Arabidopsis thaliana: one gene and its partner. The protein of the gene in region 2 interacts with the protein of the main gene of each other region in a pairwise test. Each region holds a gene or a part of one and is shown on either strand. Other genes may lie near its edges.

Evidence for each region.
Region 1: the proteins of NPSN13 (region 2) and HHP4 interact in a protein complementation assay, tested with the Arabidopsis thaliana proteins (one large-scale study listed by BioGRID).

The regions. Positions count from the first base shown.
Region 1 is NC_003075.7:17,698,800-17,702,556, reverse strand, and holds the start of HHP4 (heptahelical protein 4), read right to left. Parts: upstream 1,924-3,757; 5' UTR 1,672-1,923; intron 1,572-1,671; exon of another isoform or gene 1,551-1,571; 5' UTR 1,342-1,550; coding exon 1,076-1,341; intron 984-1,075; coding exon 731-983; intron 643-730; coding exon 1-642. Other genes in the region: NAGS2 (N-acetyl-l-glutamate synthase 2), read left to right, coding at 3,721-3,757. UniProt on the Arabidopsis thaliana protein: May play a role in abiotic stress response.
Region 2 is NC_003074.8:5,970,895-5,974,651, forward strand, and holds the start of NPSN13 (Putative plant snare 13), read right to left. Parts: upstream 1,679-3,757; 5' UTR 1,397-1,678; coding exon 1,320-1,396; intron 1,105-1,319; coding exon 1,012-1,104; intron 781-1,011; coding exon 687-780; intron 372-686; coding exon 334-371; intron 175-333; coding exon 74-174; intron 1-73. Other genes in the region: AT3G17450 (hAT dimerization domain-containing protein), read right to left, coding at 1,899-2,054, 2,140-2,529, 2,614-2,697, 2,787-3,757. UniProt on the Arabidopsis thaliana protein: Vesicle trafficking protein that functions in the secretory pathway.

The DNA.
Region 1 (3,757 bases), on a different chromosome or scaffold from region 2:
AATATCTCTCCACTTAAGATACACTAGCCCAGCTCTATAGTGCGTGAACGCACCAGCAACAACCAGAACATGAAACAACTGATGGCTATGTCCTGCTATATCGAATTTACCCGGCATCCATCTCTCTGGGATCCTAGTTGCATAAACCAGAGCTCCTAACCCATAAAGCAAACCCATCAAAATCTCATAACCTGTCGTGTGAAGGGCTTCAGGTTGGTCCCAAAAGATTATCAGCTTGTGAAGAATCGGAGCTAAGCCAGAGAATCCCATTCCAAAGAACAGAGACGCCCTCACCACCCGAAACTCCGGGCTTTGGAAAACCGGGAGGAGAGAAACAAGCACAGTGGCGATTCCTAAGATGGTTATGAATCCTAAGTAGAGGTTGCAGAAGAAAGGATCACACATGAAGGAGTAATAAACCGGAGGGTAGAAGGAAGTCGCTATTAGAGCTGCGATGCCGGCGTAATCAAGCCTAAGCATTATGTAGGAGACTCGCTCGGAGTGACATGAGAGGAGGTGGCACGTGCTGCTTGCTAATAGACAGAACATAGCACCACCTAGAAATGCATAAAACGGCCATCGAGTAATTGGCCTGAAGATCAAAGGAGCTATCAAGTTTGCAAGATCTTCCCTCACAGAATGCTGCAATGCAATTACAAAGATATGAACTTGGCCACATTTTGAAACAGTAATCTGCAGGAATAGAGAGAAAGATTGAGTCTTTTCTTACCAGAACACACATGTCAGTGTAGTTGCCATGAGAAAATCTTTCAGGCAAACAGTTATAAAGAAGGTCCATCACATGCCAACTAGATGGACTAGAAGGAAGGCGAGCCATGAGCTCAGAATGAAGTTTGTGGAGATCTGTTTTCCTCAACAAATCGGGTAAACGGTGTTGAAGCGAATGAAGATCCACGACACTCGGTACTTTCGTTGCAGTGTATATAGTGAGCGCCAAAAACAGGAAAAACCCAATCAAGTGCCTGCAAATCCCAAAGAACACACACACACAAACACACTCAAGGCTCTTGAACTTTAAACAAGGATACATCAAGAAACATGATTCAACACTTACGTCCAAACATTCAAAGTCTCATTATGAATGGTAAAGATGCTGAGAAGAATCTGTTTGATCGGCCATTCGGATCGGTAATGACCAATGATGTACTCATTGTCTCTTAAATAAGCAGGCAATGAATGAAACTCCACCAATTGATACTTGACTTTCTGCCATAACCTCTTCCCTTTCACATTATGTTTCTTGTCCATTGTTTCAGATGAAGCTTGTGGCTTTAAATGTTCCTTGATCTCTGCCTCATCACCCATTTTCTCTCTACTCATAAACAAACCAAACCCATAATATCAATCATACAGATCTAAATCTAGCTCAATCTGAATCATTCCAAGAAGTTAGGAATCAAAGTTTCAATTTTGAACGTTTATGCTAAATCTTGTTTTGTTCTGGATAATGAAAGTATCGATTTTTATATGCAGATTCAGCTCATTCATTACCTAAAGCTTCAATCCATAAATGGATTTGAGAAAATTACCTGAATTTCGAAAGACAAACCCTGTAAGATTTAAGAAATTGAGAGATAAGTAATTAAGAGAATTATGAGAATTTTTCTTCGATTTCGTGAAATTAGGAGAGAAAAGGTGAGATTTTGTTACCTGGATCTTCAATGCCGACGAGACAAAATCTTCTAAGAAAGATCTCTCTCTTTCTTAAAAGTCAATCAAAATAGATCTCAAGGTTTCGTTTTTGTCGAAAACAGAGAGTTCTTGTTTTGGTATGAAATCGAAGAAAGAAGAAAAAATAGAAGACGACGATGGAAGTGGAAGCTCTGAAGCCACAAAGCTTTATGAATTTTATATATTTTTATATATTTCAAATTGGGACCACTAGTTTTGTTTTGTTTATTAGTAGGACCCTTTTATTTTTCTTTATTTTCGTTTGGGCTAAGAATTTAATAGCTAGAGTATTTATTGTACGAGGATGGAAATACATCAAACAGAGAAAATGTTTTGTCGAAAATATTAACAAATATTTCTCCTATGAAATCAAGTCTTTCTCAAAAAAAAAAAAACTTATTTGATATGGGGAATTTAAATTAAGGGAAAATTAATTTAACATACCATATGAGAGCAAAAAATAAAAAATAAAATAATTGTGCTCCATGGATTCTTCTTATTAATGATTAAAATTTTCAATTAGGTGAAAAGGAAAAATTTATGATTGTGGCACATTTATTGCATTTAATCATCTTTCAACTAAAAATGGAGATGTCTATTTATGGTTTTGTTTATTTGGTCGGATTTCTTTTTTTTTTTTGTATAGAAAATATTGACAACGAATTGAATTTCAGTTCTAGTTTATGTTTGGATTTAATTTTAAAGCAAAAACTATCTATCGTTAAGAATTTTCCGAAATAAAGATTCACATTTCAGAAGATTTTTTTGTTTTGTTTCGAGTCGGTTTTGGTTATTTTCTTACATAAAATACACAGAATAATTCGAACCATAATATTGAATTGTTATTTTGGTTCACGTACGTTTACCGTTGGAGACTTTATAGCTCTTCGTTTATGCTTGTACGGATCAATAATCATGCATACTTAAGTATTTGGAAAGAAGAAGAAAAATAAAAGATTTTATCACAACATAAATAGTAACGTGAATTGGCATAAATGAATCGCAACAAACAGGTCGCAATCACAATGATAAAAATATCTACTGGCACTACTTCATAAGGAAGGATCTTGTAAGAATATTACTTTCGTTTTATTCGGATAAGCAGAAGATATTCGTTTTTTTTCTGGCTCGTTTTTTCACCTATTCAAGTTTTATGTCAATTTGGTTACGTACTCCAAATTGTGGCACTTGTAATTTGACACTCTTTATCAAAGTTATCACTTATCTTACTTGCCAACGAAACTAGTATCAGTATTCAGAGCCATTAATACAAATCAATCAAATCTTAGAGGAAGAACTAAAATGATGTACATAAATTGATGTTTTAGTTTTGCCAATTAGCATAAATAAATACTTTTAAGAATCTTTTCACATTTTTTCTCTAATAAAAGTGAAACATACACATTAAATCTTTTCACATTTTTTCTCTAATAAAAGTGAAACATACACATTAGAATCAGTTGTTCACCATATATAAAAAGGCTCGCCAAATTAAGATCTGGACATACTTAAAATGGGATTGGGCTGGTAAATATTCTAAAAACATTCCTTAAAAAGCCCACTCTGATAAGTCCGCGACTTCGAAACTCCGATGCAGACCGAAATTGGTTCTATAGTTTGGGAGAGAATGACCAGACCGGTTCAATCAATTTTCCTTCGATGGACCCAACCGAATAACTTCCATGTGGGGACACAACTTAAGCTTGTAACGACCAGACATTCAAAGAGTTCCGTCAAATAGTAATAGAGAAAGACTAAAGAAGAAAATATGGAAAAATAAACAATAAATAATAATAGAAAAAGACTATTGAAGAAAATATGGAAAAATAAACAATAAATAATAATAGAAAAAGACTATTGAAGAAAATATGGAAAAATAAACAATAAATAAAATACCTACTTACCGTGGGTCCCACTACGGTACTACTGCCGCCTTCTCCGACCGTAATCAGCCGTCACCTGCCGGTTTAGTTACAATAACAATTTAGTATTTATTTGAATTCTTTCTCTCATCGAAGTCTAAGGAAGATGGAGCGAGGAGCTTTAGTGGGTTCTTCTTCTACTT
Region 2 (3,757 bases):
TGTCAATCTCTAATTGTTCTAAGCAAACTCATATTTTGGTGGCAACTGAAGACAAGAATGCATAAGGACTCACATGAAGCCACTTGAACATTTTCCTCAGCTGTAGGTTCGCCACTAACTCCAGCTCCCATATCAAAAAGCTCAACTTTCTTGTTGCCAAGGGTACTCATATACCTGAGATTCAAGACCAATTTCACATGTATGAACACATAAAAGTCAAATGAAATCCTATATAGATATTCTGAACGGATCGATATGAAATCAAAACCCTAAAAGAACAGGTTGAGATTCAAATAATCAGCTTTCTTAAAGAGGAATGATAGAAATACTAACGTTTTTCTTAGAGCAACGTAAGAATTGAGCTCCTTGATCTGTAACATTATACAAAAGAAAAAGTTAAACACAGATGTTAAAAAGTTCATACAAACAAAATGTTAGCAGATACAAAGTACAGAGGGGAGTGATAGATACACAATGACACTCAATATCCACCTTAATATATCCATTCGGTTATAAACACACCTAAAGATTGACCAAACTGAATACGACTGATGCTGTATAATGGAACTTTACGAAGGTGCCAAGTAAGAGTTAATATTCACATATTTACTTCAGATACATATGACATTGTAGTATAATCAAAGAAAGGCCTCAATGAATTTAATAAACAAAGGATAAAAACTCACCATAGATTGTTTCTCATCGTTCAATTGCTTATTTACTTCAGGAGAATTTCTAGCTTCCTCATCCTTGAGTTCACGGTCGAACTCTTTGACCAATCTGACATGAAGTACACATTAGACAAGCAAATACAGATTATTGAATCATGGATTTGTCACATCAATACTCTTTCCTTCTCAATTCTCATTATACGGCATCGTATCCAGCTCAAAGAAAAAGAAGTACGCATAACAGTGATCAAAGAGCACATTCTACTAAAGGCAATTAGCAAACAATGTTGTAACGCCGAGAACATAATGGTAAAGCATAGCAATTATGAAATAAGTATACCTTTTACACTCTCTCATCTTGTCAGTAAGTTCTTCAAGTTGTTTGCTTTGTCTAGTTGAATCCTTAATCTTATCCAACCTCTGGAAACCATTCCTGCAAAACAGATAATGGTGAATCATTAAAAGAACAATCTTTTGAGTGATGACTAAATCTAATTCTTATCATCAGCATTAAGCAAAACACGCATAAATCCTATTGAGCACACATAATCAAAAAATTCCAAAACCCTAAAATATATATCACAGTGTTTCGTAACCACGACAGAGATAGTTAGAAAATTGAACAAGAGGATAACATGTAAAACATACGCGAGGGCTCGGAAATGGTCACGGATTTCGCCATGGATCTGCTCCAATTGAGGGCTCATGGGGAGATTAGAAGCCATGTCGCCGGAGACAATTCAGAATCCGACGAAAATTTACCCAAAAACTACGTCACTGCATCTAAAATTTCCCTCCAATTTAAATTAAAACCCTAATTAGACAAAAACTGAAGTTAAAATCTCCAAAAAGAGAAAACACAAAGGAGAATGAATGAAAGACGAAACAAAGGACGACAAAGAACGGGAAAAGGGAAAGAGAGCTGTCAGGTGTGTGTTGTTTTTTTCTTTTTTATTCAAACATATATATTTTTTAAAAACAAAATTGATTAATAAATAAATTAAAAAGACAGATATTCGGTAGTTAAAAAAATGACAGCGAGGCGCCAACTTTTTGGTCCCATCCATATCCGTTGTTAGATAAATTATTTCACTTTCACTAATTTCACCTAATAATACTTTGATTATATTCTTCTAGCCAACAAAATTTTCATATTTTTCGAATATTTTAAGGATACAATGCTAGAATTCAAAATACAGTGTTACTTCGTTAGAATTGTAGCACTAACTAATCATCGTCACTAAGATCATCATCGTAAGGATCAAGGTTGTCTTCACCTTCACCGTCAACGTTACCAGATTCCATGTAAAACTTCTCCTCCTCTTCCTCATCGTCTTCATGGTCTTCCTTCTCTGCTCTGTCTTCCCCGTGCAAAGCCTCCTCCTTCACCAATAAACTACATTTATTAGCCTTTTATAAAATCACTGGAATGGCGTTTAGCGTTTCTCACTTTAAGTAAGTTAAGTACCTCCTCCTTCTCGGATGTTACGAGCCAGTCAGGGAGCAACCGATCCAGCAAAGCGTGGTTAAGAGTTGGTGGTGGTTCATCCTCATAATGTAGCCGTTGCTTCAGCTGTTTTTCTCTGAGCCGTAAGTTGTAATGAACGTATGTTAGATCTTTCGTTGATTTTTTCCCAAATTGGCTCTGGCATTGACTGTTAACTTGGTCGTACACGCTCCACTTAGGCTCACACCCAACAGACGAGCAAGTGTGGCTCAGTATCCGAACCGCCACTCGCTGGAGTTCCAAACAGCTTATCCCATGCTGTTGCCACCACGCCGATGGATCAAGCTCTGTTCTTGTGCCAATGGCTATATCCGTTCCAAAATCAGCTTTCGCACAAGTATAATCCGGAATCTGAAAACATTTCAACAAAAAGTTGGTTTAACCTCAGGTTCTGAGAACAATGTGTGTGACTTGGTGATTTGTTTTTTGTCTCACCTGCATCAATGCTGTGATTCTACGCGTGTTATCAGGCTCAAGCCTAACAATGCATTCGTTAACTCCACGCACAACCTCAGACTGCTGCAGATTCATTCACATTTACAGCAAATGTAAGGAAAATGGCAGAAAGCTTTTAGTCATTGATTCAAATGAATGATAATCATACCTACCGCCATAAAATCAGGACGATATTTGTATGCCGGGTTGAAGAAATATGCAGCCACATAGAGAGGATGATGAAACAATGGGTTCCAACGGTATTCTATCACCCGCCAAAACGGTCCGTATTTCCTTGCATCATCGCTATGAATAGACTTGATCGCCATTTTCGCACAGCACATGTAACCGTAAGCATATGGCATAGATAGTCTATCGCCACCATCATTGATCATGTGAATCACCTGCATCACCGGATCAACCGATTTCAAAACATACTGAACCTTCTTCCAAAACACAGCACTCAACACCATCTTCTCCACTTCTCTTCCCTCTTCAGACTTGGCGGCGGTCTGTGACAAAATCCAGCCGTCAGATTGAAACAGACCTCTGAGACTGGCCTTGTGGTCCATAAGACTTTGAAGAGTGGTGAACCCGGAAGCGTGGCGCATGACTGCTGGTCTAAGAAGATCTAGTCCCTGTGTGAATTCGTTCTTCATAAGATTAAGCAGCCATGTTTGATTGTAAATGAATCTTGTGATTCTTTGGGCTTTCTCTAAGCACTCGGAGACAAATTCTAGCTTTGAGAAGTCTTCAAGAACCAGTTCTGTGCAATGTATTGCACAAGGAGTCCAATACAAATTCTTTCTCTTCTCTTCAAGTAATTTTCCAGCACTTCTAAAGATAGCAGTGTTCTGTGTAATAACCTGCACCACATTTTCCTCGCCAATGTCGTCAACTAGTTTGTCTAGACACTTGAAAAGGCTTAAAGCATCTTCTACTATATCAGTGGCATCAATCGAGGAGTGGAAGTAGACACCACGAGGGCACGAGACCAAGAAACTGATCATTTTCTTGCCCTCTGTGTTGGTCCAAGTATCTGCCATTATGGAACAACCTGTAACCACCCAAGAAGATCTGTACTCCCTCAAGTAGCTTTTGATAGTTGACATCTCTTCCTGTAAGAGCCTACCAGAAAACAGCT